4 linked regions of the Arabidopsis thaliana genome follow. The protein of the gene in region 3 purifies or fractionates together with the protein of the main gene of each other region. This does not show direct contact. Each region holds a gene or a part of one and is shown on either strand. Other genes may lie near its edges. The genes, in order: LAP1, LAP2, GDH2 and AT4G30910.

Region 1 (7,950 bases), on a different chromosome or scaffold from region 3:
AGAATAGTTAAAAGAAAATAGCTTAGACATAAGATATATAACAAAATCTATATATATGTAAAGCTGAGGCGATATATATGGTAATCAGAATGTGCAGAACAAACAGATTAAATTATGTGATGCGACTTGTTGGAGGAAAACTCATTATGCAGAAGAAAAACGCTACAAACAGCTCAAAATAATGTGTGAATAATGAGAAAATAATATGTTATCCAGTATGAATGTTTGAATGGTGAAAAAGTTTTAAACAAATATTTTATAGTTTTTAATAGATTAATTTATATAATAGTAGTAATTTGAACAAATATTTTTCAGTTGTGTTATTTTATCGCAATTTTTTGTTAAATATATGATTCTGAAAACAAAAATTATATTGTATGATTTTGTTTTTTTTCAGAAAACTGTAATCCGAATAAATACCTTCTATTGTTGAACGTAATTTTTTTATAAATGGTTACAATCGTTTAGTCGAAAGTTTAGTTTATTTTACAAATCATTGTTTTTTTTTTTTTTGACACGATCTTAATAAAACCGTCCACCTTCTTCTCCTGAAAACTTTACATTTTCAAGAGTTGGACTAATTCATAGAAAATCTTACATTTTCAAGAGTCACATACGCATTTTCATTGTATATTGAAAATGAAACACGCTGAGAGATATAATAATATATTAGGTTCACATATGAATTTTCAATTTTTCATTGCACGCGGGACACACCAAACCATTTTTTTGACCTGGTTTCATTTATAAAAAAGAATACTGTAAAACGTGGGCTTCATTTATCTCTCTATATATATATGCTTGAATTACATTTTGAATTCATAGATCTAAATCAACCCAAAATGTATAAATTCGTCGTTTGCTTATTAACTTTGAGTTTTCTCTTGCTCTCTGGACTATCAAACACAGCATTGGCCCGAGTACATCATGAGTCTTCAAATCCAAGTAATTTTTATATTCCAAGCAATTTTGTATACTATTCGATTTTTGTTTAATTTGATTGTAGAGTATTAAATATACACTTCAAATTTTCCGTTTTAGAAAACAGAGATATTGAATGAAAATCGAATGTTATATAGTTTTGGTTATAATTCCATGTTTGCAAATATATCTTTAAAATCAAAGAATATCCATAGAAAATAGTCGTCAATTTTACTTTATCATCGCAGTTTGAATTTACGATTTGCTCATTATATATGAAAACTAAAACTGAATCATTGTAATAATATCTCTTCATTTTTGGCTTTTGTAATAATTATTCCGGTATGGACATACAGTTCTTTTTCAATTTGGATTGGTTCCTCTAGATACGTAAGCAATAAACTGGCATAACAGAAATGATTTGTTAATTGTTGCTTCTTTTTTTTCTGTTTTGAAAGAAATAGGAAACAGGGTTTGGGATCAAAAGATCTTCAACAATGTGAAGGTTCGTGTACTTCCCAGTGCTTCAAGGCGTGGACCTGGGCAAACCGGTTAGAAAATCAGTACTAAGGAACAAAAGGAGTATTAAGTAGAATAGTTACTTCAAAATATTATCAAAAAAATATTTTATTTTATGATAGATAAAAGTCATGTTTTGTAACCACTCATATGCTGTTTTTTTTTCAAAAGATGTTCAATTATTGCATTTGACATTATGGTTCATAAAATTTGAAGTGGTTACCGAAAAAAGTAATGAAAAGGAGAACCCAATGTTGAAGACTTCAAAAGTAGAAATTTCAGACAGTATTTTTGCACGACTAAAACAAAGTACCACTTTATTCAACTTTTGACGATTTTACTTTTCATAACAAGTTAAGAACATCTGAAAACATAGTAACTTTTGAGACCTTATTAAAAACCAGCAATCATTTCAACACCCGAAAAACTCTACAGTCTCTCCCTCACGCTCTCTAGGTTTCATTCACGAAGATGAATTCTTCTGTACCCATTCAACAAGCGTAGCAACACCAAACCCGGTCCCAGACTTCTTCTTCTCGTTCCACACCGGTCCAGCCATGTCGATATGCATCCATTGCACCTTCTCACTCACAAACTGCCATACCACAGAAAATAGAGGATGGTTTAGTTACTTTCACCGACGAATTTTTTGTCAAAAACATGTATGTATAGCCTCTAAAGGGACTTTGTTTTCACCTGTTTCAAGAAGAGAGCCGCGGTGATGGATCCTCCTGCCCGCCCGCCTGTGTTGACCATATCAGCCACTCCAGACTTCATCATCTCCCAATAGCTCTCTTCCAGTGGCATCCTCCACAGCTTCTCTCCACTCCTTTCTGATGCAGCAATCACTTCCTTTGCAAGCTCGTCGCTAGGTGTATAGATTCCTATCAAGTAATGAACACAGAATGATCATCATGAGCCAATTTTGGACTCAAAAACGACACAAAGATTGAGTTTTTCTGCAGGGTTTTTGAGCTGTGTACCTGCCATTGAAGTTCCAAGAGCAATAACACAGGCCCCGGTCAAAGTAGCGAGGTCAACAATCTGCAAGATATTTGACAATGTTTAACTGAAAGGATAAATTTAACAGAAACAAGCTCCTTTAGCTTCTCATATCAATAAAGTAATGCAATACCTTGTCGACGCCTTGGTTACAAGCATACACTAGAGCATCTGCGAGTGTTAGACGACCTTCAGCATCTGTGTTGTTGACCTACACACACCATCGCCAACAATTAGCATTTCATAGGAAAAACAGTAAAAGCTCAACTCTGAGGGGGAAAAAATCATCAGATACCTCAATGGTCTTTCCGTTTGAGGCAGTGATGACATCTCCAGGTCTCATTCCGGTTCCACTAATCATATTTTCACAGGCTGCAACGATGAAATGAACCTGGTTGTGGAAGACGAATCTGTTCAGTTCGGTTAACAAACTATAGCTTTCAAAAGAATCTGATGGGAGAAACTAACCTCAACACCAGGAGGCTTAATCTCACCAATAGCTTTCGCAGCGCCAAGAACAGCAGCTGAACCGCCCATGTCGAATTTCATGAGCTCAATTGAGCAGCCAGGTCCAGTCTTAATGTTGTAGCCACCACTGTGTACACAAGATATTCAAATCAACAACCACTAAAATAACAAAGAAAAGATACCAGCTCGTAACAGAGTAAAATTCAAAGCAATACAGAATGATTAGTTACCTGTCAAAGGTCAATCCTTTTCCAACAAGAGCAAGTTTGGTCTTAACAGAGCCATTCGGAGGTTTATAGACAAGGTGGATGAAGTGAGGAGGATTAGCCGACGCAGCAGCAACAGCTAGGTAAGAACCCATCTTCAACTCTTTGCATTGCTCTTCGTTCAAGATGTTTGCAGTGAAGACATCACTGTACGTAGAAGCCACCTTTGCTGCTTCCTCAGCTAGTACAGCTGAAACGATACAAAAATCAAAGCAGTTTAGGAAAACTCAGCGAACACCACACAAACACGAAAATATTTGATTTCATAAATGACAACAATTCATACCAGGAGTAAGCACATTGGCAGGAGAATTAATGAGCTCTCTCCCGAAAATTACACCGTAAGAAACATCTTCAGCATACTTCAGCTTCTTTTCTACCTCAGCCCCAGTTCCAAATCCAATAATATCAACAGCTTTCAAAGATGGTTTCTTTGATTCAGACTTATACCTACCATCTTCAAATAAACCAAGTACTATGCCTATCCAAAAATAAACAATGAGACCCCAAATCAGTTCCAATTTCCAAAACAGTACTAAACAAGACTCGAACTTGTGTTATACTAATTGAAGTTACCTGAAGCTAAAGCTGATACAGAACTAAGCTTAGATTCATCAGAAACACTTGAAGCAAGCACAATAGCAGCACTAGTAGATTGAGAAGCTTTTGAAACTGTAGCTACAGCTTCACCAAGGCTATGAAAAGCCACCGGAGACGAAACAGACTGTCCAAGACCGATCAAAGCGATTCTCTTTGATCCTAAACCCGGAAGCCTGAGAACAGTCGATTGACCAGGTTTCCCAGTGAAATCTTCCTCGGAAGAGACTTGAGCTAAAAGTCCACTTAAGTGAGCATCGACCTTGCTCAAGATCGGATTCTCAAACTTTGAGTTACCGTCTTTGGCTAAGTCCTTCTCTGTCACACCAACTACGAGTATGTCTCCTTTCCATTCAATTACATCGATCTCCTTCGCAGTGAACGAGATCTGCATAATCGTCACCAAAAGATCAAAACTTCAAACTCGAATCAATCAAAAAATCAAAACTTTGAACTAAATCAAAACTGGATTCCATACAAAATCATTTCAAAATCACAGTGAAGGAAACAAACCTTGTGAGGCTCAGTGGAGTTGGGTTGAGTGAGACCGAGAGTGTGAGCCATGGTTATTGCTATTGAAGAGAGGTGTTGTGTGATTGAACTCTGAAAAGGAAGACGAAAGAGTAAACAATGAAAAGTTAGGATTGGTCTTTCAAAGGCGTATATATAGAAGGAGAAGTTAGGTGTGATTTACACATGTGTGATGTGTGTTAGTGAGTAGCTCAATTAGGCTTGAACATTCGGACTTCGGATTGGATTTTATTACGATAATTCGGGTTTTGGATTTGTAGGGTAAAATAGGGTTTTGGATTTTTTAGACATTCGGACTTTGAATCGGATTTTATTAGGGTAATTCGGGTTTTGGATTTGTAGGGTAAGACATGGTTTTGGATTTTTTAGATAGGGAGATTTCGGAAGGTACTGAATATGTTTCGATCGGTTCGTTTTGGATTTATACGGGTTCGGAATGGTTCTCGAAAAAAAAAAAATGCGACCATAGAATCGAAATATGTTCTGATTCGATTTTTGAATCGAAAAACTCCAAAAACCTAAACGATGTATATAGAAAAACGCTCCAAATGATCCTTAAAATCCAAAAATATGTGTATATATTGTTTTGTGTTTTTTGGGTTTACGTTTGGATTTTATTTTTTGGTATAATGGTTGGGTTGTAGGTGTTTTTGAGTATCCGTTTGGGTTTCAATTTTTTTTTAATGTTCGGATTTCAGATTTTACCAGTATATAACCGAAAATCGAAACATATAATTTAAGATCTGTTAGGATAATAACAACTTTTTGATTTGGAAATTTTTTTGGGCGAATTTCTTAAGAGAAGGTCGAAATAATAAAAGACAAAATTATAGTAGAAGTTGTTATTTTCAGCAACCTTATCAAACATATCTCTATGAGATATGCAAAAGTTTTAGCTTCAGTCGTGTTGAAGTGTTCTAGGTGGAATGGTTTAAATGGGTGAAAGGGCATCGATCATGCTATCGAGCTAGTCACTTCTGACTCTGATTTTGGGCACTGTTTCGTCGATCGTTGGTCATTTTGTGCCGCCTTTGATATCTGATCAAGTATCCACAAATCCGTCCACACCAATATTTTGAAGGTAAACCCCATTTCCTAATATCAAAAATACTATTCGCCGTCCGGAACATTGACAAGTACACGGCGTACCAGTCAAACATGGAGCCTAATCAATTCAACTATTTTTTCTATTTTGTTTTGTCGACAATGGTCTAATTGATACATGAGAAATTAGGCTGTATGACCATAAAAATTTAATAATTCAATAACTAACTTAAAAAAAGTTGACTACATGATTATGTGTATAACATGTAATATATACTAATCTACCCATTTGTTCACATGTCATATGTATCTTTTGATTCTTTTTCTGAATTTTGTCTTCTTTTTTTCTTTTGTATTTTGAAGTATGATCATTTTTAATTGTGTTTATGTTAAAATTTTAATAATATTATTGTTACTAATAAAATTTCACATTATGACTTTTACTATTTTAAAATCATTTTTTATTTTATTAGTTTTTTGTTAATAATTAATATTAATAGAAATAAATATTTATTAAATGAACATTGTAATTATAATTTAGTGTTAAAAAAAAAAAATGGTGACATGGCTTTGTTTGATTGGATGTTTACCATGATGATATGTACACATTAAGAGAACAGAAAACTCTTCCATAATATATATTAGTTAATAACACTAAGAATGGTGAGAGTGATATTAACATGGACATGGTTCCATTTTCATAATGCGTTTTTTGAAAGACAATCGTTACATTTTCAACTCTTTTTCAATGTTGGAAACCGCAAATTAATTACCAAATAGGCAAATAAATACTCGAACGAGTTTCATTAAAGATAATTAAAGCCAGTTCTTCATTTCTTTCATATAAATCAGACAATAATCCCATGTTATTTTCATCACCCAGTTACAAACTTGAAAAAGAATCACACATCAGAATATTTTAATTTTTCTTTTGTTTTGCCATAAGAATATATATCATGACGATAAAGAATGTACTTTTTGTTCTAGTAACCATTTGTGTAGCAGTTTCTGTAAATGCTCAACTACAGCAATATCCGATTATTTTCTCAAACCCGCTTCCATTTCTGCGCTCGACTGGTATACTAAACCTACCAGACGTAAAAAAATGTTTCTCGTCCGTGAGGAATGTTCCAGGATGCTTATTAGAGATCTCTCAAGCTTTTGGAGAGAAATTCGGTCACATGATGCCCGCTTGTTGTAAGGCTTTCATGGATAGCATAAAATGCATGCCAAATATTCTATACAGTGTACTTTTCCCTCCTAATTTGAAAGAACAATGTAATCAGGCAGGGATCCACTAATTTGAAAGAACAATGTTCTGAGGGATCCACGCCTAGTAAAGAGGTGGTAGTTGCCACCACTTAAAAAACAGTTTTTAATATAACTTTACTAAATATAAATAATTGCCACCGTAACAATTTAACTCTTTCCATGATCCCATTTTTTTAAAAATAAAAATATTTAAGATGGCCAAAAGCTCACTTTACTAGTATTTTATAAATAAAAGCGTAATTTGTAAACTAAATCTAACTTAACTAATTAAAACTAGGCTTGGGCGTTTAATCTGAAACCGATAATCCAAACCGGAAAATCGGATTAAAATCCGAATCGCATTCAATATCCATAGGTACCAGATTATACTTGATCCGATGCAATATTCGATATGTATCCGAATTTGTGTCTTTTGTTGTACCAGGGACATGTCCAAGTTTGAAAATGTAGCTAATAAGAAGCTTGAGGCTGGCTTGTTTTCACTATCTTCCAAAATTTTTTTACTACTTTCGATTGAATTCTGCTACTTTTTTAATTTTTAGGATGTTATGGTTTACCTTCGCTTTAAAACTTTGATATATTGGCATCGTTTTATGTCTCACTTTGGTTTCCCAACTCTATGGTTTGCTAAGGTTTCATGTTAGTTCAACTAGTCATTTCAGTTTTGTTTTGCGGTTTTCGGATTGTTTGGATTATGTTTAGATTTTTTGTTTAAATCAGATATTGAATATCACATGCATACCGATTCAAAATCCGAAATATCCAAACCGAAGTCGAACCACATTCTATAATTATTTTTATAGATATTAATTAGAATCTATTTCCAAAAACTCGAAATCCGAAAACACCAAACCGAATTCGATTCGATAATCAAACGCCCAGACCTAAGTAAAACCCTACAACTTTTGAATCCAATTTTTTTTGTCGTTCTTTCTTTTTCCTCCTAGTTTTTCTCCAGACGAGAACTCCCTGGTAAGTTTTTGTTCTTTGTTCAATTATAACTGTTTATTTCAAATTTTAATCATTGTTTTTTCATTAATCATTCTAACTGTAGAAATCTAAGGACAAGTTTGTTTCTTCTTATTGTAGAGGTTTAGTTCTCGTGTGATTTGATGATACTTTACACATGTGCTAATAATGATTTTGTGTTTAGTTTTCCAAAATAACGTTGTTGCTTCATTTCGTTTGAATTTGTGTTGGATCCGACCCAAGCTCGACTCTTTTACTATTTAAGAGATGTTATGCCACATTTTAACCTAAGATTTAAGATAGGTTTATTTCGCTGAATTGTCTAAGAGTTTAGAAAGGCAATATAGACCTAAGTTTTTAC
Region 2 (7,950 bases), on a different chromosome or scaffold from region 3:
TAACTAAATTAAGAGTCATTGGTTTAGACTGGTTAAGATCCGGTTCAATAATCAACAACAAACACGGGAGATAAGGTTCGCCGTTACCTTTCTCGGCGATTACTCTCGGTGGATCTGCTCGGGGCTCGATGAGGCGGTTTAAGCTCACGGCAGTAAGGTCTCATAGCTCAACAATCAAAACCAAAACAAAGCACAGATCATAAGAGAAAGCCAAAAACTTCCTGAGCAAGTTACATAATAGATCTAGGGTTTCCTTACCCTTAACGGCCTTGGCGATGGACTACGACTACTCCGGTGACAGCGGTTGACATCCTGTGACTCGTGGTGTCACTCTCCGGTGACACACGGTGGCTGTAGTGGTGATGAACGGCGACTATCTCTCCTTCTCAACAACTCACGGACCCATTCAAATACAACAACATGACGGGACACAGCAACAACGGTGGCTCAACTGTGTCTCTCACGGTGGTTGTTGAATTTAAGTTTAGACTAGGTAAGCATACAACAACAAAACTAATCTTCTGATTGATTTAACTTGTCATACTTAGTTGCACAAAAAAAAAAAACTTGTCCCACCACACAAAGCAAAAACACAACTAGTTCACATCAGTCAGAGATCACCAGACTTCATCTTAAGAAGAAGAATGGTTCTGTACCCACTCAACTAGTGTCGCAACTCCAAACCCAGTTGCAGCTTTCTTCTTCTCGTTCCACACTGGTCCAGCCATATCTATGTGCATCCACTCAACATCCTCGCTCACAAACTGCAACCATTAACCAAACCCGGTTCTTCGTTAGAGAACAATAGCGTCAGTATTGAAATGTGTTCTTTTGTTTCCACTCTTATGATATACTCACCTGTTTCAAGAAAAGAGCCGCGGTAATGGATCCACCTGCACGGCCTCCAGTGTTAACCATATCTGCAACACCTGACTTCATCATCTCCCAGTAACTCTCTTCCATAGGCATTCTCCATAACTTCTCTCCACTCCTCTCTGATGCAGCAATCACCTCCTTTGCAAGCTTATCACTAGGTGTATATATGCCTGCAGAAAAACCAATAGTCAACCATCACGAAAGAATTTTATTCTGTCTTATTTAAAACACAAGACTATGTACCTGCCATTGATGTTCCAAGAGCAATAATACAAGCCCCAGTCAATGTTGCAAGGTCAACAACCTGCAAATATTGTAATTCACAAGTTGAGACTTGAGAGAAAAACCAACAGAAAGAATGTATTAATAAGTCGAAGAATCTTTGAAACAATACCTTATCGACACCCTGGTTGCAAGCATAAACTAAAGCATCTGCAAGTGTTAGTCGACCTTCAGCATCGGTGTTGTTGACCTGCAATACCACCCACAATTAGTTTGGCGTAAAACTAACAATGGAAAGCTCGAACCTTTTGAAGCTGAATTCATATGGAAACGGTGTTATGATACCTCAATCGTCTTTCCGTTTGAGGCTGTGAGGACATCTCCAGGTCTCATTCCAGTACCACTTATCATATTCTCACAAGCTGCGACAATAAAGTGCACCTGATTGTGCAACGAAGCATTTGTTTAGGTACATTCATTTAACTCAGAAACGCAAGCTCCGTGTGATAAACTTACCTCAACACCTGGAGGCTTAATTTGACCAATGGCTTTTGCAGCGCCAAGAACAGCAGCTGAACCTCCCATATCGAATTTCATGAGCTCAATTAAGCAGCCAGGCCCGGTTTTAATGTTGTAGCCACCGCTGTGAACAAAAACCATCTGGTCAATAACTAATAAGTATTAAATAAAGAGATTGATGCGGCAAACAGAAGCCAACAGCTCTAGTACCTGTCAAATGTCAATCCTTTTCCAACAAGAGCAAGTTTTGTTTTAACAGGGCCACTAGAAGGTTTGTAGATAAGATGTATGAAATGAGGTGGATTAGCTGAAGCAGCAGCTACAGCAAGATATGAACCCATCTTCAACTCTTTGCATTGCTCCTCGTTCAAGATGTTGGCAGTCATGACATCACTGTACATGGAAGCCAGATTCAAGGCTTCCTCAGCTAGTACGGCTGTAAGATACAAAGCAGATTAGAGAAAAATGTTTGAAATAAACTTCAACAGACATGATGCTCACATTATTAAAAAAAAAAAAAATGAAAAGTCTAAGACTGATGCTCAAGAAACAATCCTCACCAGGAGTGAGAACATTGGCTGGAGAATTAACGAGTTCTTTCCCGAAAATAACGCCATAAGAAACATGTTCAGCATACTTAAGCTTCTTCTCTAGTTCAGGTCCAGAGCCAAAGCCAATGATATCTACAGATTTGAGTGATGGTTTCTTCGACTCAGACTTATACCGGCTGTCTTCAAACAAACCAAGCACTGTGCCTGTAAAAATAAACAACAATTCCACATAACGATCAGTTCCAAAATGGTAATGAAACAACCATTCTCGAGCTTTAATAGACGAAACCACAACAACAACAAATAAAACACCTGAAGCTATAGCTGACGCAGAACAGAGCTTAGATTCATTAGAAACACTCTCAGAGGAGGCGAGAACAACTGCAACACTGCTAGCTTGAGAAGCTTTAGCAGCTGCAGCAACAGCCTCACCGAGACTCTGAAAAGCCGAAGGAGTTGAAGCAGATTTTCCAAGACCAATCAAACCAACTCGCTTAGACCCAAGACCCGGAAGCCTAAGAACTGTCGACTGACCAGGTTTCCCAGAAAAATCTTCCTCAGACGAGACATCAGCTAAAAGTCCACCCAAGTGAGCATCAAGCTTCTTCAGAATCGGGTTTTCGAACTTGGAGTTCACATCCTTAGCCATGTCTTTCTCCGTCACTCCAACAGCGAGTATATCACCTTTCCATTCCGTCACGTCGATCTCCTTCCCCGAAAATGAGATCTGATACAGCAAATTCGACTAATCAGAATCCAATTAACCACAAAAATTCAAACTCGAAAGCTAATCTCTGACAAGACTTGACCATAATCGAAGTCAGCAAATCAGTGGATCATCTTAATCGGAAACAGTAAAGCGACGAATCTACAAAGCATTCACTAGTATCGAGTTTAAACACATAACAGCAAAATCGAATAATGCTGCAAGCGATCAGGAACAAACCTTAGGATGATCGACGGAGTTAGCCTGAGTGAGGCCGAGAGTAGCGTGTGAGATTGTATGAGCCATGGCTCTAGAAGAAGAGTAGAGAGGCGTGACGGCAAAAGCGAGTCTAAGGCGAGAGGGGAACTGGAATCGGACGAAACAAGAGGAGAGAGACGACGGAGAAGAGGAGAATGAGCGGAAATGGAAGCGAGAAGACGAAGAAGCGAAGGACGTTACCAAAGTGACGGCCATTTGAGTAACGCACTGAGCTTCTCTTATTTATAAGGAGAAGAAAAGCCGCGTTTGTGCTTATCTCTCTCTCTCTCTTGTTGACGATGATTCTTCTTTTACTTGACTCATTGTTTGCTTTTATCCAACCCGTCCCCACCCGACCCGATCTTAACCATGGACTTACGTACTCGTGTAGCTTTATAATTCTCTTTGGCTCCAAATTGCTTTTGTTTAAGTTCTTTATACATATTTATACAAACAATGGTTTTGATACTATTTACAAACATTCAAATATTTCAAGGCATTCTTACACGATTTTCCGATGTTGATAAAAGAAATTATAAATCAGTTCCAAGTACTATCAATTCTGTGAATCATTTGTTGATGAGGAAGTGGTTGCCATATATAGTTACAATAATAATCACCTGATCTAAAGAGTCATAGTGGAAAAAATCGAGATTTTGAGTGTAATGTGACTTGCAGTTATTACCAATTTACCACCAGTTTCATATCTGTGACCGAGACTTGCATGAAGAAGTAAATTAAACCATAACCAAACCACAGTAGTACAGTACAAAGTACAAAGCATAGAGAAGATAAGGAGAGAGATGTTTCCGCAAATCTTTATTTCTGAAACAGAAGCAACAAACAGCTCCCACAAGCATGAGCCAGTTTAAATACAAAATGAAGAGCAAGGAGAACAAGACAGTGAAAGGCAAATCACATTTCATATCTCAGGAGCCTAGTTACTTACCACTAACTACCAAGAAGGCCTTTTCATCATTTCAACGACTTTAAAATCTAGTTCTTAGTGAACAGCAAGTGATAATTTAACTTACTTCAAATGTATCGGCATCAGCAAAAAAGAAAGAAGCAAATTTTATCTCTAAGCAACTAGCTCAGCCTTCGTCTGTTCTGTAACAGCTTCTTTCGAAGGCTTATGGACGATCTTCGGTTCTGGTTTTTCAATTCCTTGTATATCGGTTATTCTCAACTTCGTCAATTCCTGGACACAAGTGTTGAATGGTCAAAAACAACAATCATAACACAGTGGAAAGAACTAGAAGAAGGCAAAGATGAAATAAACACACTGTCTATCTAAACAAGGAGTTATAAAGTATACCTGTCGATGTCCTCTCGTTCTCCTATAATTCTTTCTTCGTTTCTTTTTGAAAATGAGCACTTTTTCATCCAAAGCCTGTCACGCATCAAGGAAAAACTAGTTGAGTAATGCTGGTACATGAGTAGATCCTTCTACATTCCAAGCCCATCTTAAATCAAGACATTCAGATGATGTAGAGATAGATGAACACTAATCTAATGACTTGCAAGACTTTCACAAACTAATCAGCAGACAGTTTGATTTAGTTTCTCTCAGTCACCGGATTCAGCAAGCAAACTCTCATCTATCCTCTTTTCAATTGTAAATTATTCTTAAGCACAGCTTCACTAGTATTATAAAACACCAAGCAAGTCAATGAGACACTTACATGCTCTTCAACTACAGCATGAACTGTCGCATCTGGCAAAATAGGCCTACCAATAATCGTCTGGCTTGCCGAGCCCAATAGAAGAACCTTGGTTAGTTCCAACTGCAAAGGGACATAAAGAGAAAGGTTTTAGCAACAATCATAAATCATAAACACAAATGCAAAGGTTCGTCCTTCTTACGAGAGATACGGTAAAGTCTAGCCCTTTGAGAGAAGAATAGCAAAGATTAACGAAGAAGAGCTTGAAGCTAGCATACCTTATCATTGATGTCACAGAATTTCAACTTCTCGGTGAAAATGGAGTCCCCATTGCTAACTTTAAACTGATGCGAACCAATCTACAGGATAAAAATAACCACTCAGCATCAGTGAGAGTGAGAAATGAAACTAAAGGATTAATTGAGATAGCACAGAGACGAGACCTGAACAATGGCAAACACTGGTTCATAGGGTTTGAAAAGTCTCTCCGAAGGTTTAAGAGGACCCATCACCTTGTACCCTATCTCCTCCGCCTCTTCCACTTTCTCCGCCGGTGAATATTCCCTTTCTACTTCCATATCCGCCGAATCCTCAAAGTCTTCCCCCTCCTCCTCATCATCATCCTCTCCTTCACTGCTTTCTTCATCTTCATCAGTATCCTTTGTGTTCGAAGAGAAACAACGATCTTGAGAGCGATACCAATGACTGTACCATGGCAAATTCCTAGTGAGAGATCGATTCGGAATTACGGTCCCATGAGAAATGCTGGTCCCGGAAAACTCAATCCCATGAAATGAAGAGATCGATCGCGTCTGGTTGATGGAGAAAACAGTCGTAGCGCGGCGGCTCAGCTCACGAAAGCATCGAAGACTCGCCATCGGAGAGCACGAACACACTAGGGTTTACACAGAGTAGAGAGAAAGGGTTTTTGTTCTCGTCTTTTAGTCCCTTTCAAGTTTCAGAAGACCCTCTAGACGAACCAGAGGCTATTCACTAAAATTAGCGATTTAATATCACAATAAACATATACCATCATTACACAGACGAATGTTAACGTATTTAGTTGGTAATCTTCATGGGGTTTTTTATTATTATTATATAACAAGAACAAGGAGGCGAAAATTGAGTCGATGAACTCTATAAAACTCATAAACTACATATAATCAGCATTGCTTGATTTCGAATCCAATGCTCAACAAAGTCCTAGCTGATTCCATCACTTTCTCTCCACCAACGTCCAATGCTTCTTTACTCTGCTTCTCACTTTCTCGCCCCACCGAGCACTGGCTTGAAGTCGGAATGTTCACCTGATCGTCTGTCCTGGTTCTCATTGATGTTGGAGCGGCTGCAGCTACGAGCATTGAGCTTGGAGGACCATGGCGTTTCTTAGGCACCGGCATGTCGTGGTTGTGTACTCCTTTGTATGTGATTATTACTGCTTTTGTGTTCTCGACTGCTGTCTCAATGTGTTTACGAACTGGACATCCCGCTGAAGTGCATCGGTAGTAGTTCCTGAATGTTTGAAACAGAACAAATCAATCACCATGCGTATTAGAAGATGTCATATGTGGATAAAGAGATGGGTCATGCGTTTAGTTTTCTAGACCTTGGATGAGGATTTCCTTTCACCATTTTCTGCCCGTATTTACGCCACCTGTATCCATCACCACAGATACCAACATCACCAGCTGCGTGTACTACGAATTTGTTTTTCTTTCCAGGTTTGGAGACAGAATCTGAACTCTGTGAGTTATCTTTTTTCAGTCTGAAAAATAGAGAGAAGAAAGTCTATTAATTTCATCTTTCAAAGTGAAGAGTAAGCACCGAAATGCAAAATTCTACAAACTTGCCTTCGTTTTGGCTCTGGTTCCTCCACAGCTTCGTTCTCACAGTGTCTTTTCCGGTCAACGAGTGTTTGCGACTCACAGATGTATTCTTTAGTAGAAGCAGACGGATCTGAACCGCTAGGAACAATTGATAGCTCTTCTACTACTGTATCATCCTCTGAAACAGGCCGGATAGCTGTTGTAACTCTAATCTCTCTCGGGGAGAAGCTAGTCTTCCGGGGAGGTTCATGAGTATGTAAACCTTTGTTAACAATCTCTACCACATTGCCTGAATCATTGGAGCATTCAATTTTTTTAGCACAACATTCAGTGTATGTACACCTGTAGTAACTCCGTGAGCCCTTGGGACTCTTAACCTGCTTCTGTCCATATTTTCTCCAATTATAACCATCACGAGCCGGTGTCCTAGGAACAGGAGTAACCGACAATCTGTTAACCACCGGCGAATCTGATCTTTGCTCTTGTTTAGTTGGAACTGAAACCAGTGGTAAATCTTGTGCGGTTGAAGCAGTTGCAGGATCCAAAGATAGACATGGCGTCACTGTCAATGAGTCTGACGATGCAGCCAGAGAAGGAGATGTTTCTACCTGACGATTCTCTTCCACTTCATCAACCGGCACAATCGCACTTACAACAGTTTCCTTGACGCTATCAGTCTCCTGCCAATGTGATACAAAAAGCAGTTAAATGTCATGCCTTGATAACAGTGATTCTTGTCCTCAGAATTGCCTAAGAAATCAGACACACTAAAATGTAACAGATCAAACTGATACAGATACAGATTGAACTTGGCCAAAGGTTAAAACCATTACGATTAATCCTATTCCCATGTTATTGTATAATCACTGAACGAGTAACATCGAAGACACTGAAATGAGTTAAACTTTACAAGTTCTAGCACAATCAATGTTAATGAGAGAATCAAAGTTGTAAGTGTTAAGAAAGTTTATGAATAGCAGAAGAGTCTGAAGCAAACTCACATTCACTTCTAATACATCTTCAACATTTGGTTCCACAGAGGAATTTTCTCGAACACCTGGTAAACTCAAACATCATTTCGTCAAAAAATAAAGTCTCGAATAAATAAATAAAAACCAATAAAGAATTTTGCGCAGAATAAACCGTTACCTTGAACCTGATCCTTGCCTAGGGTTTCTCGCACAGTCTCATCATGTAAATCTTCCATATCCGCACCAAGTGATTTTTCCTCGTCTCTGAATTGACTCAGTCCGTCCTTCTCCGGCTCCACTTTCTCGCTCTTCTCCACCGTGTATGTCTTAGCTTCGTCGATACCAGTGTCTTCTTCC
Region 3 (7,634 bases):
GACAATTTTCTAACAAATATTATCTGAATTTTTATAAAATATAGGTGTTACAATAATGCATTCTATGCGAAAGTTGGAGGAATAACCACAGAGGAGATGAACTTGTTAGAGCTGGACTTCTTATTTGGAATTGGATTCCAATTGAATGTGACAATTTCTACTTATAATGACTATTGTTCTTCACTTCAAAGAGAGATGGTTATGAGGACGATGTACTCTCCACTTTTGGAACCTGCTTTTTTAGTTAGAAGTTTTCATAAGAATCTTCTAAAGAATTTGTACGACGAAGATCATCGTAATAGTCAAGTCACCAGTGCTGTTTGATACATTGGAATACTAGATCATCTAACAAATGGAACCTTTTAACGGAAATGTAACAATTTTTTTGAGAACTTCAAATTGAATTCCAGTAATATGTAACCGATTTTAATAAATGTTTTGGTTTCACTATTTGTGTTTTAATAATAATAATAATGAAGTAGCAAGCCACACAACTGATGAAACTAAAATTTGGGCTTTTTTTTTCCTGGAATATTTCATCCTCTGCTTTGAAACTCTCGTTTAATCCAATCATATATTTTATTCCAATTTGTTAGTTTTTATTCAATCCATTTGTTTCCTTTTCCATTTCGGAAAGCTCAATGATTTTCAGTAACAATGAAACCAAAAAAAAAAAAATGGAAAACAGAGCAAGCAAGAAACAGAGTATATAAGGGGGATTCAACTGAATTAAGCTTCCCAACCACGCAACTGGGTGGCTCGAGCGACTCGGTTAACTCCAAGAGTGAAAGCTCCCATACGGAGGTTGCAAGAATGAGTATGGCACATTGTCTTGATGTTGTGAAAGGCTCGAGTCATGTATTTTTGCAGCTCCAAGTTCACTTTTTCCTCTTCCCACATGAATCCTTGAATGTTCTGCACCCACTCGAAGTAACTCACTGTCACTCCTCCTGCGTTTGCGTAGATATCTGGAAGTATAATCACTCCTTTCTTCGACAGAATCTGCCAAAACCAAACAGATTAGGATTTTTATTTTCGGAGTTTCAGGGATGAGTTCTTGTGTTATCGATGCATTACCTCATCAGCATCTGGATCTGTTGGATGGTTAGCTGCCTCTACTATAAACTTTGCCTTCACATCTCCAGCATTTTCCCTGAACAAATATTGGGAAATATAAGAATCAGAAAGTGAATCTCTATGATTGGTGTTGATTTGATGAGTGAAGTTTTTGAACTGACTTGTTCAGGACACCACCAAGAGCGCATGGAATGAGAACATCACACTCATGAATGAGCAATTCATCTGAATTCATAGCGTCTCCACCATTGAAATCATTGAGACTTCCAGTTGCGTCCTTGTGTTTTATGAGAGCGTTGATGTCGATACCTTCAGGGTTCCTGATTGCACCAGTAATGTCGCTTACTGCAACCACTTTACCGCCTTTCTCGTGGATCAGCTTCGCAGCCCATGTTCCAACATTCCCAAAACCCTGTCACATATCATCCAAATCTCTCAACATTTCTGTCTTATATCATATACACAATAAAGCTTGAGATCTGAGATTAGCTGATAATGGTTTTACTTGAATAACAAATGTCAAACCCTGAATCGATTTCCCGTACTCAGCAAGAAGAGCTTCGGTGGCAAATACTACACCACGACCTGTGGCAGCTTCCCTACCTAATGAACCACCAAGATCCTACACCAAAGTGATCCAACAGTTACTTCTATACCAAAAAGCTCAAAACTATGGTAATCACATAGAAACATCGAATTAATTCAAATCAAGAAAACATCCATAGAATAAACAACAGATTCCGGACTCAGAATGATATAACCAAAATCTTAAAAGCCTTACAATGGGCTTTCCAGTGACAACAGCAGGGGAATGACCATGAAACTTGGAGTACTCATCAAGAATCCAAGCCATGGTTTGAGCGTTAGTGCCCATATCAGGAGCAGGCACATCGGTATGAATACCGATAAGATCATGAATCTTCTGTGTAAACACACGAGTCAACCTCTCAAGCTCGCTCAAACTCAAGTCACGAGGACTACATCCAATTCCACCTTTAGCACCACCATATGGAATATCTGCTACAGCAGTCTTCCAAGTCATCAGCTGAGCTAGTGCGTTAACTTCATCTGGATCAACCTTCAAACCAAAAAATCAAAACCCTTAATTCAAATCCCTAGATTCAATCTATAACCCCCAAAGTTGTCAACTTTAAATCCTAGATCAAGAACAAATGATAAAAGACCCTACCTCAGGATGATATCTGATTCCACCTTTCATGGGTCCACGAGCATTGTCATGTTGAACCCTAAATCCGATGTATGAAACCAGAGTGCCATCGTCTTTAGGAATCGTACACTCAACCTGAAATCAAAAGTAAAAAAATCCAAACAAAGATTGAGACGAATTTTCCCCAAAAACGAAACAAAAGAGTAAAACCTCAAAAGGAAAAAAAAAAGTCAAACCTTGATTTCTCTAAATGGGATCATAAGACTTCTCTCGATCTTCGAATCCAAACCCAGGATTCGAGATGCATGACGGAAGTTTCTGTTTGTTGCAGCTAAAGCATTCATGGTTTCTTCTCTATAAAAAATTCGAACTTTATGGAACAAAAAAAAAAAAAAAATCAACAAACCAAAAAATTCAAAGTGATCGGAAGATCCAAGATATCAGAAAGTGAAATTTGTATCTCGTGATCGGAGAAATTTACCGATTGTAAATGGGAAAAAGGTAAGAACTTGGAGTTTTTGATTTGTTGTGATGAATTGAAGAAGAAAGAATTGAGTATTTGTAGGGGAAAGAAGAGAAAGCGTAATTTGAATGAGATCGGATATTTTTGACGTATCCTACGTCAGACGGAGACTAATTATCGACTGCAATGACTCTTTTACCCCTTATTATTTATTTGGATTTCTCTAATCTTTTTTTTGGCTATCTCATCATTTTTAACTCCTTTTTAAGTCAAACATATCTTTAGAAGATTAACATTCCTTTAAAATTTACTAAAAAAATATTGGCTTGAGTTGGAAAGTTATAAATAATAATCGAAAAAATTACGGAAAAAAAATTTAGTAATTACAAGAACTACAAAAGTTTTTAAGAATATACCAACATGGTAAATTCGTAAATAACGGTGGAGAAGGTAGTAAATTTTGATTTTAACACTAATTGTTTTAAAAAACCATGTGATATTTTCAGGGATTTTTTTTTTTTTATAACTTTAATTGAGGAAAAGAAAACGATATTGGTTTCTTGAAATTTTCGGTTTCCGTTTTCTTACTGGTGTCCTGTGACAGGATCGGGACGTGGATACCCAATTAGGATGGAGCTGGGACAGACTGTTTTTGGGGACGGCGTTATATGACTTTTTACCTTGTTGATTACTATGTTGTATGACTCATTTATTTTTCCCAAATACAGTATTGTATTATCACTTTTATGAGACATTTAATGACATTTCATATTTGGAATACATATACAAATGTTATCAATTAGTACAGCAAATTGTGGATAAACTTCAGACCTGCTTACATAAGGTCCACGTTAGAAACAAAATAAAAACATGCATCTAGTGCAATTGACTCGCATTCTTTAAATACTAAGGCATTTTAGGAATATCTCTCCATAATTAGTGAAATTAAAAATGATTTTAATCCGAATATACTATAGAATATGACCAACAATATTTATTTAAAACATTTCCGAAAACGTATTTATATATATCAACAAAACGTGAAAGAAAAAAAATTGATCGTCGATGTTATCACGAGGAGATGCGAAAAACATGGAAGTAAAGCTCATTTAGGGGCGTGGATTCTCTGCGGATGTGACAATATTGTACTAATGGTTCTAAACAATCTTAGCCGTTGAAAATCGGATGGTCATTAAATCGTAAGAACCAGATTCCGAATCTAAGTCAGACTCAGCAGAACACGTTGCAGAAGTTGCTATCCTTCTCTTCTTTAATTGGATGGCGACTTTTTGCTGACCTGGCTGTGACGCGGCTACTCGCGGCGGCTTCGTCGGTGCATATCTATATTTTTTTTTTCTTTTGACCATTGGGTCTTCACTTAATTCAATAAAATTTATGCATGCATCTCTTATGGATTAAAATATACTAATTCGCCGAGAAAATTAAAGAAAGAAGAAGCTGATTCATATATATACGAAAAATATTGAAGTTTAACATTTGCAACTAGAACTATTAAAATGATGAGATCTAGAAAATGTGTGTGTTCTACTTTTTTTTGGTTAAAATAATCAAAATGTTTAATAAAAGCATATATATCATGGATAGACATTGACTCTTTCTTTTTGTTGGTACTTTAAACATATATACCATGAACGTTTAACATAAGAAAAACAAAAACAAATCATTAACTCAATAGGGTGTGAACATAATTATGATATTTTACAAAAACAAATTTTGTATATATATCCTATAGGAATTTCTAAATAAAGGAAAACAAAAACACCACAAACATCCGGTATATATAGAAATGAATGAATTGGAAGATTTATATATGTAGAAAAAATATTGATCAATTCATATCTTAAGCAATACAAAAAAAAAATAAAGAAACTAAAAAGATGGGAACATTTCAATTATAAATTAAAGAACGGTGTTACAACAAATAAGTTGTCTTAAGAAAAATTTCAGTATTTAGGAGGAGGAAGTAGCCATGTGGAGCCCTTAATGTAACCAAGAGTGAGGAAAGGCGTAACTTCGTTTTTGTCAATATCTTGTGTGTAAGGCACTCTCTTCTCTAAGTGTGACCCTGGTCCGAAACACTTGTATTCTCCATAGAACACCGTCCTGTATTTATACAACACACAATATCAAATTCAGTTTATAATCAAATATATATATAAAATGTAGTTCTATATGTAAATGAGATGATATGAAATGTTACGTACTTGTCATATCCGCGGTTGAGGTTCTCCCTCCAGCCAGATGGATTGACCACGCTGGTCATCTCTGTGAAAGCATAGACGACTTTAGGGTGGCTCATCCAAGACCTGCCCAAATAGATTCCGGTTCCGGTTCCAGTGACTTTGCAGTGCACGAACGTGTATCCGTTTTGTTCGGTTGCACTTTGTCTACCTTGAGCTGTGATCACTCTTAATCCATCTCCAACAGCGTGCAATTGCGTATTCTATCGAGTTTACATACAAATATATGTACTATTAATATCAAAAAAATGCTATATATATGTGTACCATGTTAAAAGATGTCTAATATTTAATTTTAAGGTTACCAAGTACAAGGAAGCTCCTCTTCCAAAGATAAAATCATAAGTTCCTTCGATGTAACAATCCTTGAAGAAATGGTTGCCCTTGTCGTCACAGAGAGTATCTTGAAAACCATGGAATCTACAACTATAGAAAGCTGCCTTATCAGCGTTGATCCTCATTGCTAGAGCTTGTCCCTGTGAACCTGGTTTCGGCATTGGAGCAGTGTTCTATAGTATAACAAAATCAAATTAATTAGTAGCGATTAATCTCTAACGTAATGTAGTAACGTATAACGAATATAGATATGCTTCTCATACTTTAATGGTGAGGTGAGCTGCCTGGAAATATTCAGCCCAGACGATAAGAGTTGCACTCTCAACGGTTCCGTACTGAGCGGCTGTCCCGTGGTAAGTCAAGACCGTTTCCGCACCAGGTTGACCAAGCAATGTAATGAATGGTCGAGCTATGTCGATTGTGACCTTCTCATTGTATACACCAGGAGCCAACTTGATGATCACACGGTTCTTGTTTCCTGTCGGAATGCTCTTGATAGCTTCGTTTAATGTCTTGAAATTAGCGCCACCTTTTTGATTCACCTGCAATGAGATTTTCATTTTTCACTCGAGTTAACATACATTTGTAAACTATTCATATAAGCAAAAATTTAACAACGCCTACTTAATTCGGTCAAATCGATATGAACCGAACCAAACCAAAAATCAGATTTTAGTAACTTACGGTGATAATTTGTCGCGCTGCTTCAGCAGCTTCGAGGGCGGGGTCTAGCGTGCCCTTTCTCTGGGAATATGGTTTAACGTTTGTTTTAAACCATTGCGGGATTTGGGCTCTGTTTTCTGGAATCGGATCTGTATCGGTGGCTAGAACCACCGGCGAAGCAAAAACAACAAGGAATGCAACCACGGACATTGAAATGTAACCCATCTTTTTATTTTCTTTTATTTTCTTTTATTTCTGTTACAAAATAAAAGAAAATAATGAAAAGGAAAAGAAAAACTAAGTGTTAATATTACTATCTTATTTACTTTTAAAAATGGAAGAAATGAAGAAGCCTTGAAGGGGTTTTTATACTTGTCTTGCTTGTTGATCTCTGACCGGACATATCTCATTTTTACTATTCTCGTCTGTGGTTTATATTTCTTGAAGCATTTTTGAATATCTGATTTTGTTATTATTACAAATTCAGTAATTTTGAATGGAGATAAATTCGCACATTCATCTGTAACCATCAACGAAAAGGAAAATTTACAGTTGGCAAAATCAACATGTTGAATATTGACTCATCCAAAAGGAACTATGTTGTTAATTTGCTATATATCTATCTATAGATTTACCTGAAAAGGACCTAAACCACAATTTATGTTTGAATGTAAATTTGCTAGACATGACAGGAGTGGTTAGTAGTTCAATGTTAATTAAAATGACACTTCCTAAATTTGGATTTGCTTTACGTCAATGACGCTTCCCACATTTGGCCGTGATTTTCGATCGAACTTATATATATCTCTTCAAATTTTGTGTTTTATTTCTACTAGACCGGTAATGTCAATTATCAAGTTTTTATAATAATAGAAAAAGATTACAAAATGTTCCACCAATAAAAAGCTATCCGTGATTTTCCTTTACAAAATTGTGAATCTACAATTTTTAACCAAAAACGTAATTTCACAACCATCTGCTAAAAATGTGATTCTTCAGTTTTTTTTTTTAAATCACAAGTTAACAATTTTCTACCAAAATACGAGTTCTAATATCAAACATAAAAAATGATAGAAAGTAATGTCCATATTATTTTTTGTTTAGAAATTGTCCCCAATCATTTTAACATTAACTAGAAAATATTTATAGTTAATGTGTTCGCAATTTCGCATACAAATATACTGTCATTCATAACATTAATCAGTCGCGTCACTCTATCCATGCACAATAATCAGTATGTTTGAATTCTTATCCGCTTCTCATTTGTGAACCATTGAGTATTTTATTATCATGAAACCAAAATTACACAAGTCTCTACTCCTCCATTATATACAGGAAGAGAGGATACTTCGAAAACAAAACGTACAATTGTAACATATACAGAATTTTAGTGATGATTGGGTCTGTTTAGTAAGCGGGAGGAGGTAGAAGCCATTTGGAGCCCTTGATGTAGCCGAGGGTAAGGAATTGGCTAGCTTCTTTGTTGTCAATGTCTTGTGTGTGTGCCACTCTCTTCGCTTTGTGTGATCCTGGTCCCGTGCACATGTATTCTCCATAGAACACCGTCCTATCATTCATTATATAAAAAATATTACTTATTAATGGTTGGTTCGCACTGTCACAAATCACATTTTAAACTTGTAAAAACTATTGCAATATCTTTTCT
Region 4 (8,292 bases), on a different chromosome or scaffold from region 3:
CAACCCTGGATGAGAGTCGTAGACTTGAGAAGACATGAAAGGGGTAGAGAGACGGAGGAAGAAGAAAGAGAGGATTTGTTCTTCTCTGCAAATTCGTAATGGGTAATCATCCGAATTTGGAGGAGAGCTAAGTTAGAGAGATAGATAGAGAGAGAGACGGACCTTTCGGGGATTTTGAGAAAAGGAAATTAGGGTTAGGTTTCTGCTTCTGTCTTTTGTCGGATAGTTTTGAGGAGGAGAACGGAGCTTAGCTTAGCGCCGTGTTTGGATCTTCTTCGTCTCCTTTTTCGTCAAAGGCGTCGTCGTATCTTTACAAATATAAATCTCGGTTCGGTTTTGTATTCACTTTGGTTTAATTCGGTTATTCAACAAAACTATCTCAAACAGTTGTTGTTACTCCTGTTTGGTCTGAACGGTTATTAAAAACTCACGTGTCTGTAGGGGTTCCATGTCTCGGGTTCGAAGCTTGTCTGAAATTAATTTTAAACCTTAAAAAAATCTAGAGAGAGACCAAAAAGCCGACGATTAGTCCACCGTGACTCCACCGGTCCCTCCACCGTGACTTCACCGGTCCCTCCTCCGATTAGTTACTCTTCTTCTTCTTCTTCCCCCGTTTCCGATTTGATTTGTTTCTGAAGTTGCTGATTTATACATGTATCAGGAAATGGCTTTAAGAGACTTTTGGTGATCAAAGGGCATGACTTTCACAGATTTTCCAGCAAAAGTCGTCAAATGTCCAAGACTCATTTTCTCCACTGTTGTTGTTGATAAGAGTCTGAAACAACAAGGTTCGTATTGGATTCCTCAATAATATAATATAATAAATTATGTTGATTGATTTTCTTTCTTCGAATCCTGAGCTGTTTTTTCACATAAAAATTGATAAGCTTTTGACTTATTATTGAAAATCATGTAGGTCACGACGACGATGAGCTGCTGCTGATGTGAGAGAGACCTTTGTTTTTATTCGTCTTACCAAACCATAAAGAAAGAAGAGAGAAAACTAGAGGAAGAAGAAGAAGAAGAAAGGAGACAAAACAATGAGTGTGTCTTTGAGTGTGATGTCATTCAATCTTCACGATGATCTACCTGAAGAAAGCCCTAATTCATGGCTCAAAAGGAAAGATTTGTGTCTCACTGTCATCACTAGTTACTCCCCCATTGTTCTCTGTACCCAACAAGGTAATAATCTTTAGCCACAATGGATCAATGCTTGTTAGATCTTTGATTCCTTCTTCGTATTGGTGATTCAATGCTTGTTAGATCTTGCTTCCTTCTTTATATTGGTTCTCCAAGAAGGCTTCTTTTTCCTGAATGCTGGAGATTGATTCTTGTGCTTTTTCTTGCCTTCTGAAATATTGAACAGAGATAGGATTTTCGTTTTGATCTTTTGTTATCATGTTTACATTGGTTAGGTGTGAAGTCGCAGTTGGATTATCTTCAGCAGGGGTTGCCAGGTATAATTGAATTCTCTTTGATTTATGGAAGTCTAATCTCTACTTAAATGGTGTGAGTTAGGTCTAATTGAACCCTGTTTGTATACAGCAGTCTGCTTCTTCTTAAGTTCACAGACTAGTGTGAATCTTGTTATCAATCGTAGACCACTCTTCTTGTTCTCAATCTACTATGTAAATCTATTTGTGATCTACTAGATTTAATTCTATTTTTAGTATATGTTGGTATTGCTTAAATCTGATAGCCAATTTGTCAATCCGTATCCTTTTTTGCATCAAGTTCAAGTTAGTGTTTTTAGGCTACAAAAGCCGGAGTCTAGTGCACTTAATGCATCTGTTTTATGGCAATGGAATGCATGATATTCTCACATTTACAGGTGCTTTCTTTGAAATGATGGTGGTATTGTTTATCTGGTTTTTGTTACTGTGAACCATGGAGCTTAGCTTCTAGTTTCACATGCCTTAATAATACTTCAGTTTGCATTGTTTCTTTGAACTTAAATAGATGGTAGTACTCTTTGCTTGCAGCCTATGATCAATTTGGCATATCAAGAACAGGACCTGGGGATGCTAATGATGAACACTGCACCATCTTCTTCAACAAGGAAAAAGTATTAATTCGGTTGATAAGACAATACATAACTACGCTCTAAATAATTAATACGCTGCTTGATACTATACTTTATACTAATTGAAGGTAGAGCTGCTAGAGGGTGGAACTTTTTGGTTGTCAGAGTCTCCCTCGGTCCCTGGAAGCACGGCATGGGGTTCCGCAGTTCCTTGTATAGCGACATGGGCTATATCCTTTTTACTAGTTGGGTTCATTTTAGTTAAACTATAATTAGATTAGTTTATGATTTTGGTGTTTTTGTCCTATATATCAGTATTTTGGTTTTCTTTGACAAGCTGCCTACACATTCCAACTTAAAGGAGCGGAGCCGCCTGGTTTTTCGTTTCAGATAGTCAACACAAACTTGGATGAAATCAGCCCTCGTGCCCGTAGGCGAAGTGCTTTACTCACATGGCAACACATAGCATCATTACCTCCCACTTTGCCGGTTGTGTACTGTGGAGGATTCAACACACAGAAGGAATCAACAACAGGGCGGTTTCTGTTGGGCAGATCTAGGTACCTTAATATCACATTCACAAGTTTTGTGCTTTTTACCAATCTCCTAGAGTTTTCTTTCAGGGCTCCTAGTTAATGCAAGAATGGCTAAACCATTCTTCACACACTGATCAACTAGTTTCAAATCAAAGCATATTTACTTATTTGACTGCTGATGAATGGCTTTTGGGCATCATTCAACTTGCAGAGAGCATGGTGTGGTAGGAGATATGAGAGACGCATGGCCAAGTGCCCGAGTAAGAAAAAACGTCGCTCTCATAAGAACATACCATGATTTCAAAGGTGTGAAACATTCCACCCTCTCATGAGCTATAAAAATCATTTATCTCCAAAGCTTCTAGATCATAACATGTTGGGCCTTTGTTCAGGTGACAAGCAGGGAACGGTCGAGTTCCTGAAGCTGATATTCAGAGCGTTATGCCTCTGCTGGGACCGACAGACGCAAGATCTACACACGGATTGGATACTTTACAGAGGTAGATCTATAGTTCCTGTAATGTGCGAGATCGTAAATGATAAGATTGACGACTTGTATCCTTCATCTCACTACCCTGTGTTTGCTGAGTTTATGCTTCCTCGTTCTGTAAGAATGCTTGAACCTACTCCTCCTGTTTCTGCTCCTGCTCAAGAGGAAAGCTAGAACACATGTCCTCACTTGCTTAAGCTTTGGACTATACTGATTGTTGTGCAAATGAGCTCTGTTTTTTTCTCGGCGCCTTTATTTATTGATTTGAGCTAAAACATATTCAAAAGAGATTTAAATAAATTGTTTTGTTTGCTCCTAATAGTTTGTGTTATTATTGATGACCACTGAAACATAAGATTGACGACTTGTATCCTTCATCTTGTGCTCCTAATAGTTTGTGTTATTAGGTAAGTGATGTTACGGAACACAAGAATATCTACAAATAGTCAAATACTTTCAAATGGGTAACTCGTCATATTCAAGCGTCACACTTCACAGTTCACACAAGCAAATAAAAACCCTTTTACCTACATTAAAACCTCTGAGAATGTTAAATAAGAACTGGGAGCACAAAGATCACCTGCCTACATCTTAAGAAGAATTGTTCTGTACCCACTCAACAAGTGTCGCAACTCCAAACCCAGTCGCAGCTTTCTTCTTCTCGTTCCACACCCGTCCAGCCATATCTATGTGCAACCACTCAACATTCTCGCTAACAAACTGCAACCATTAACCAAATCCGGTTCTTCGTTAGAGAACAATAGAATCAGTATTGAAGTGTGTTTTTTTGTTTCCACTCTTATGGTATCCTCACCCGTTTCAAAAAGAGAGCTGCGGTGATGGATCCACCTGCACGGCCTCCAAAGTTAACCATATCTGCAACACCTGACTTCATCATCTCCCAATAACTCTCTTCCATAGGCATTCTCCATAACTTCTCTCCACTCCTCTGTGATGCAGCAATTACCTCCTTGGCAAGCTCATCACTAGCTGTGTACATGCCTGCAGAAATCAAAAATCGAAACCAATATTCAATCATCACGAAAGAATGTCATTCTGTCTATTTTATACACAAGACTATGTACCTGCCATTGATGGTCCAAGAGCAACAATAATCTCCCCGGTCAATGTTGCAATGTCAACAATCTGCAAATATATATGATTCACAAGTTGAGAGAAAACCCAGCAGAAAGAATGTTATTGATAAGGGGAAGAATCTTTGAAACAATACCTTATCGACACCCTGGTTGCAAGCATAAACTAGAGCATCTGCAAGTGTTAGCCGACCTTCAGAATCGGTGTCGTTGACCTGCAACACTAACAATGGAAAGCTTGAACCTTTCGAAGCTGAATTCATATGGAAACGGTGTAATGATACCTCAATTGTCTTCCCGTTTGAGGCTGTGATGACATCTCCAGGTCTCATTCCGGTACCACTTATCATATTCTCACAAGCTGCGACAATAAAGTGCACCTAATTGTGCAAAGAAGCATTTGTTCAGGTACATTCACTTAACTCAGAAACTCAAGCTCCGTGTGATAAACTTACCTCAACACCGGGAGGCTTAATTTCACCAATGGCTTTTGCAGCGCCAAGAACAGCAGCTGAACCTCCCACATCGATTTTCATGAGCTCAATTATTAATTCAGGCCCAATTTTAATGTTGTAGCCACCGCTGTGAACAAAAACCAGATGGTCAATAACCAATAAGTATAAAAGAAAGAGATTGATGCGGCAAACAGAAGACAACAGCTCTTGCGAGTACCTGTCAAATGTCAATCCTTTTCCAACAAGAGCAAGTTTGGTTTTAACAGGGCCACTAGAAGGTTTGTAGATAAGGTGGATGAAATGAGGTGGATTAGCTGAAGCAGCAGCTACAGCAAGATATGAACCCATCTTCAATTCTTTGCATTGCTCCTCTTTCAAGATGTTTGCAGTCATGACATTACTGTACATGGAAGCCAGATTCGAGGCTTCCTCAGCTAGTACGGCTGTAAGATACAAAGCAGATTAGAGTCAAATGTTTGAAATAAACTTCAATAGACATGATGCTCACATTATAAAAAACATGAGAAGTCTAAGAGTATGATTATAATCCATACCAGGGGAGAGAACATTGGCTGGTGAATTAACAAGTTCTTTCGTGAAAATTACGCCATAAGAAACATGTTCAGCATACTTAAGCTTGTTCTCTAGTTCAGGTCCAGTGCCAAAGCCAATGAATACTACAGATTTGAGAGATGGTTTCTTTGACTCAGACTTATACCGACTGTCTTCAAACAAACCAAGCACTGTGCCTGTCAAAAGTAAAAAACGATTCCACAAAAGGATCAGTTCAAAAATGGTAATGAAACAAGCACTTCTCAAGGTTTACTAAAAGAAATCACAACCTGAAGCTATATCTGAAGCAGAACTGAGCTTAGATTCATCAGAAAAACTCTCAGAGGAGGCGAGAACAACTGCAACACTGCTAGCTTGAGAAGCTTTAGCAGCTGCAGCAACAGCCTCACCAAGACTCTGAAAAGCCGAAGGGGTTGAAGCAGATTTTCCAAGACCAATCAAACCGACCCGCTTTGAGCCGAGACCCGGAAGCCTAAGAACTGTTGACTGGCCAGGTTTCCCAGAAAAATCTTCCTCAGCCGAGACATCAGCTAGAAGTCCACCCAAGTGGGCATCAAGCTTCTTCAGTATGGGGTTCTCGAACTTGGAGTTGGCATCCTTAGCCATATCTTTCTCCGTCACTCCAACAGCGAGTATATCACCTTTCCATTCAGTCACGTCAATCTCCTTCCCGGAAAATGAGATCTGATACAGAAAACTCGAGTAATCAGAATCCAGTTAAGCATCTGGAAAGCTAATCTCTGACAAGACTTGACCATAATCGAAGTAAGCAAATCAGTGGATCATCTTAATCGGAAACAGTAAAGCGACGAATCTACAAAGCATTCACTAGTATCGAGTTTAAACACATAACAGCAAAGTCAAACCTTAGGATGATCGACGGAGTTGGCCTGAGTAAGGCCAAGAGTAGCGTGTGCGATTGTATGAGCCGTGGCTTTAGAAGAGCAGTAGAGAGGCGTGATGGCGAAAGAGACTCTAAGGCGAGACAGCAACTGGAATCGTACGAAACAAGAGGAGAGAGACGACGGAGAAGAGGAGAAAGAGCGGAAATGGAAGCGAGAAGAAGAAGCACATGACGTTACCAAAGTGACCGCCATTTGAGAAGTCTCCACTGAGCTTAGCTTCTTTATATTTATTTATAAGGAGAAGAACAGAGTGGCTGATGCAGACATATATATATATATATATATATATAGTATGAAATTAGAGTTATCTTAGAAAATTAGAGTGGCCCAGTCTCTTCTTGCGTCCGCCCGCGTCCGACCGTCGTGTCTTGTTGACGATGATTATTCTTTTACTTGACTCACTCACTATTGCTATTATCCGACCCGATCTTAACAATCTTGATTAGCTGTAGACTTCTTTTCAAATTTTAATGTGATCATGTTTCACTATTACTAAACTTATCTTGATAACCATATCTGAAATACTTACTACTGTTATTTGTTGCCTTCAAATTTAAAGTTGTTTATACAAAACATAGTTTTGATACTATTTATAGAAATTCAAATATTTCAAGGCATTCTTACACGAAGTGATAAAAGAAATTGAAAAACACGTCAGTATTATCACTTTTGTAACTCATTTGTGGATCAATAGGTGAAATCCAATTAAAAATACATGATTTAATCTAATAACCAAACCAAATTTAGAAATCTCGATTAATTGATTTGGTATTCTTCCAATTAAATTAATTAGACTTGGTTTAATAATTAAACCAAACCAAATTCTTATAATCTAGTTACACCACACAGACGTAATAATACACCAACAACGCAAATTGTCATTGGTTTCGGTTCTGGTCTTAACTAAATTAAGAGTCATTGGTTTAGACTGGTTAAGATCCGGTTCAATAATCAACAACAAACACGGGAGATAAGGTTCGCCGTTACCTTTCTCGGCGATTACTCTCGGTGGATCTGCTCGGGGCTCGATGAGGCGGTTTAAGCTCACGGCAGTAAGGTCTCATAGCTCAACAATCAAAACCAAAACAAAGCACAGATCATAAGAGAAAGCCAAAAACTTCCTGAGCAAGTTACATAATAGATCTAGGGTTTCCTTACCCTTAACGGCCTTGGCGATGGACTACGACTACTCCGGTGACAGCGGTTGACATCCTGTGACTCGTGGTGTCACTCTCCGGTGACACACGGTGGCTGTAGTGGTGATGAACGGCGACTATCTCTCCTTCTCAACAACTCACGGACCCATTCAAATACAACAACATGACGGGACACAGCAACAACGGTGGCTCAACTGTGTCTCTCACGGTGGTTGTTGAATTTAAGTTTAGACTAGGTAAGCATACAACAACAAAACTAATCTTCTGATTGATTTAACTTGTCATACTTAGTTGCACAAAAAAAAAAAACTTGTCCCACCACACAAAGCAAAAACACAACTAGTTCACATCAGTCAGAGATCACCAGACTTCATCTTAAGAAGAAGAATGGTTCTGTACCCACTCAACTAGTGTCGCAACTCCAAACCCAGTTGCAGCTTTCTTCTTCTCGTTCCACACTGGTCCAGCCATATCTATGTGCATCCACTCAACATCCTCGCTCACAAACTGCAACCATTAACCAAACCCGGTTCTTCGTTAGAGAACAATAGCGTCAGTATTGAAATGTGTTCTTTTGTTTCCACTCTTATGATATACTCACCTGTTTCAAGAAAAGAGCCGCGGTAATGGATCCACCTGCACGGCCTCCAGTGTTAACCATATCTGCAACACCTGACTTCATCATCTCCCAGTAACTCTCTTCCATAGGCATTCTCCATAACTTCTCTCCACTCCTCTCTGATGCAGCAATCACCTCCTTTGCAAGCTTATCACTAGGTGTATATATGCCTGCAGAAAAACCAATAGTCAACCATCACGAAAGAATTTTATTCTGTCTTATTTAAAACACAAGACTATGTACCTGCCATTGATGTTCCAAGAGCAATAATACAAGCCCCAGTCAATGTTGCAAGGTCAACAACCTGCAAATATTGTAATTCACAAGTTGAGACTTGAGAGAAAAACCAACAGAAAGAATGTATTAATAAGTCGAAGAATCTTTGAAACAATACCTTATCGACACCCTGGTTGCAAGCATAAACTAAAGCATCTGCAAGT

The links.
Region 1: the proteins of GDH2 (region 3) and LAP1 fractionate together in Arabidopsis thaliana (co-fractionation; one large-scale study listed by BioGRID). This does not show direct contact.
Region 2: the proteins of GDH2 (region 3) and LAP2 fractionate together in Arabidopsis thaliana (co-fractionation; one large-scale study listed by BioGRID). This does not show direct contact.
Region 4: the proteins of GDH2 (region 3) and AT4G30910 fractionate together in Arabidopsis thaliana (co-fractionation; one large-scale study listed by BioGRID). This does not show direct contact.

Annotation. Positions count from the first base shown.
Region 1 is NC_003071.7:10,285,114-10,293,063, forward strand, and holds LAP1 (Cytosol aminopeptidase family protein), read right to left. Parts: upstream 4,573-7,950; 5' UTR 4,338-4,572; coding exon 4,287-4,337; intron 4,162-4,286; coding exon 3,753-4,161; intron 3,658-3,752; coding exon 3,463-3,657; intron 3,367-3,462; coding exon 3,141-3,366; intron 3,038-3,140; coding exon 2,911-3,037; intron 2,834-2,910; coding exon 2,738-2,833; intron 2,654-2,737; coding exon 2,576-2,653; intron 2,485-2,575; coding exon 2,424-2,484; intron 2,325-2,423; coding exon 2,137-2,324; intron 2,036-2,136; coding exon 1,904-2,035; 3' UTR 1,693-1,903; downstream 1-1,692. Other genes in the region: AT2G24195 (uncharacterized protein), read left to right, coding at 798-945, 1,380-1,477; AT2G24205 (ECA1 gametogenesis related family protein), read left to right, coding at 6,305-6,649. UniProt on the Arabidopsis thaliana protein: Presumably involved in the processing and regular turnover of intracellular proteins. Catalyzes the removal of unsubstituted N-terminal amino acids from various peptides.
Region 2 is NC_003075.7:15,045,957-15,053,906, forward strand, and holds LAP2 (Cytosol aminopeptidase family protein), read right to left. Parts: upstream 3,483-7,950; 5' UTR 3,349-3,482; coding exon 3,115-3,348; intron 2,896-3,114; coding exon 2,481-2,895; intron 2,373-2,480; coding exon 2,178-2,372; intron 2,054-2,177; coding exon 1,828-2,053; intron 1,742-1,827; coding exon 1,615-1,741; intron 1,540-1,614; coding exon 1,444-1,539; intron 1,349-1,443; coding exon 1,271-1,348; intron 1,181-1,270; coding exon 1,120-1,180; intron 1,047-1,119; coding exon 859-1,046; intron 765-858; coding exon 633-764; 3' UTR 501-632; downstream 1-500. Other genes in the region: NFD1 (Ribosomal protein L21), read right to left, coding at 4,214-4,333, 4,451-4,525, 4,818-4,919, 5,075-5,155, 5,240-5,674; WRKY32 (WRKY DNA-binding protein 32), read right to left, coding at 5,960-6,308, 6,403-6,561, 6,647-7,302, 7,624-7,679, 7,772-7,950. UniProt on the Arabidopsis thaliana protein: Presumably involved in the processing and regular turnover of intracellular proteins. Catalyzes the removal of unsubstituted N-terminal amino acids from various peptides.
Region 3 is NC_003076.8:2,351,108-2,358,741, reverse strand, and holds GDH2 (glutamate dehydrogenase 2), read right to left. Parts: upstream 2,984-7,634; 5' UTR 2,590-2,983; coding exon 2,482-2,589; intron 2,381-2,481; coding exon 2,267-2,380; intron 2,156-2,266; coding exon 1,859-2,155; intron 1,700-1,858; coding exon 1,583-1,699; intron 1,490-1,582; coding exon 1,239-1,489; coding exon of another isoform or gene 1,196-1,238; exon of another isoform or gene 1,154-1,195; coding exon 1,078-1,153; exon of another isoform or gene 1,003-1,077; coding exon 730-1,002; 3' UTR 501-729; downstream 1-500. Other genes in the region: CYCP4;3 (cyclin p4;3), read left to right, coding at 45-324; AT5G07430 (Pectin lyase-like superfamily protein), read right to left, coding at 4,673-4,832, 4,934-5,172, 5,275-5,478, 5,569-5,847, 5,990-6,193; AT5G07420 (Pectin lyase-like superfamily protein), read right to left, coding at 7,376-7,535.
Region 4 is NC_003075.7:15,038,981-15,047,272, forward strand, and holds AT4G30910 (Cytosol aminopeptidase family protein), read right to left. Parts: upstream 6,365-8,292; 5' UTR 6,269-6,364; coding exon 6,038-6,268; intron 5,856-6,037; coding exon 5,441-5,855; intron 5,348-5,440; coding exon 5,153-5,347; intron 5,042-5,152; coding exon 4,816-5,041; intron 4,726-4,815; coding exon 4,599-4,725; intron 4,524-4,598; coding exon 4,281-4,523; intron 4,196-4,280; coding exon 4,135-4,195; intron 4,052-4,134; coding exon 3,864-4,051; intron 3,770-3,863; coding exon 3,641-3,769; 3' UTR 3,377-3,640; downstream 1-3,376. Other genes in the region: AT4G30900 (DNAse I-like superfamily protein), read left to right, coding at 1,041-1,182, 1,416-1,457, 1,983-2,065, 2,152-2,253, 2,369-2,583, 2,771-2,865, 2,952-3,223; LAP2 (Cytosol aminopeptidase family protein), read right to left, coding at 7,609-7,740, 7,835-8,022, 8,096-8,156, 8,247-8,292. UniProt on the Arabidopsis thaliana protein: Presumably involved in the processing and regular turnover of intracellular proteins. Catalyzes the removal of unsubstituted N-terminal amino acids from various peptides. Possesses Cys-Gly dipeptidase activity.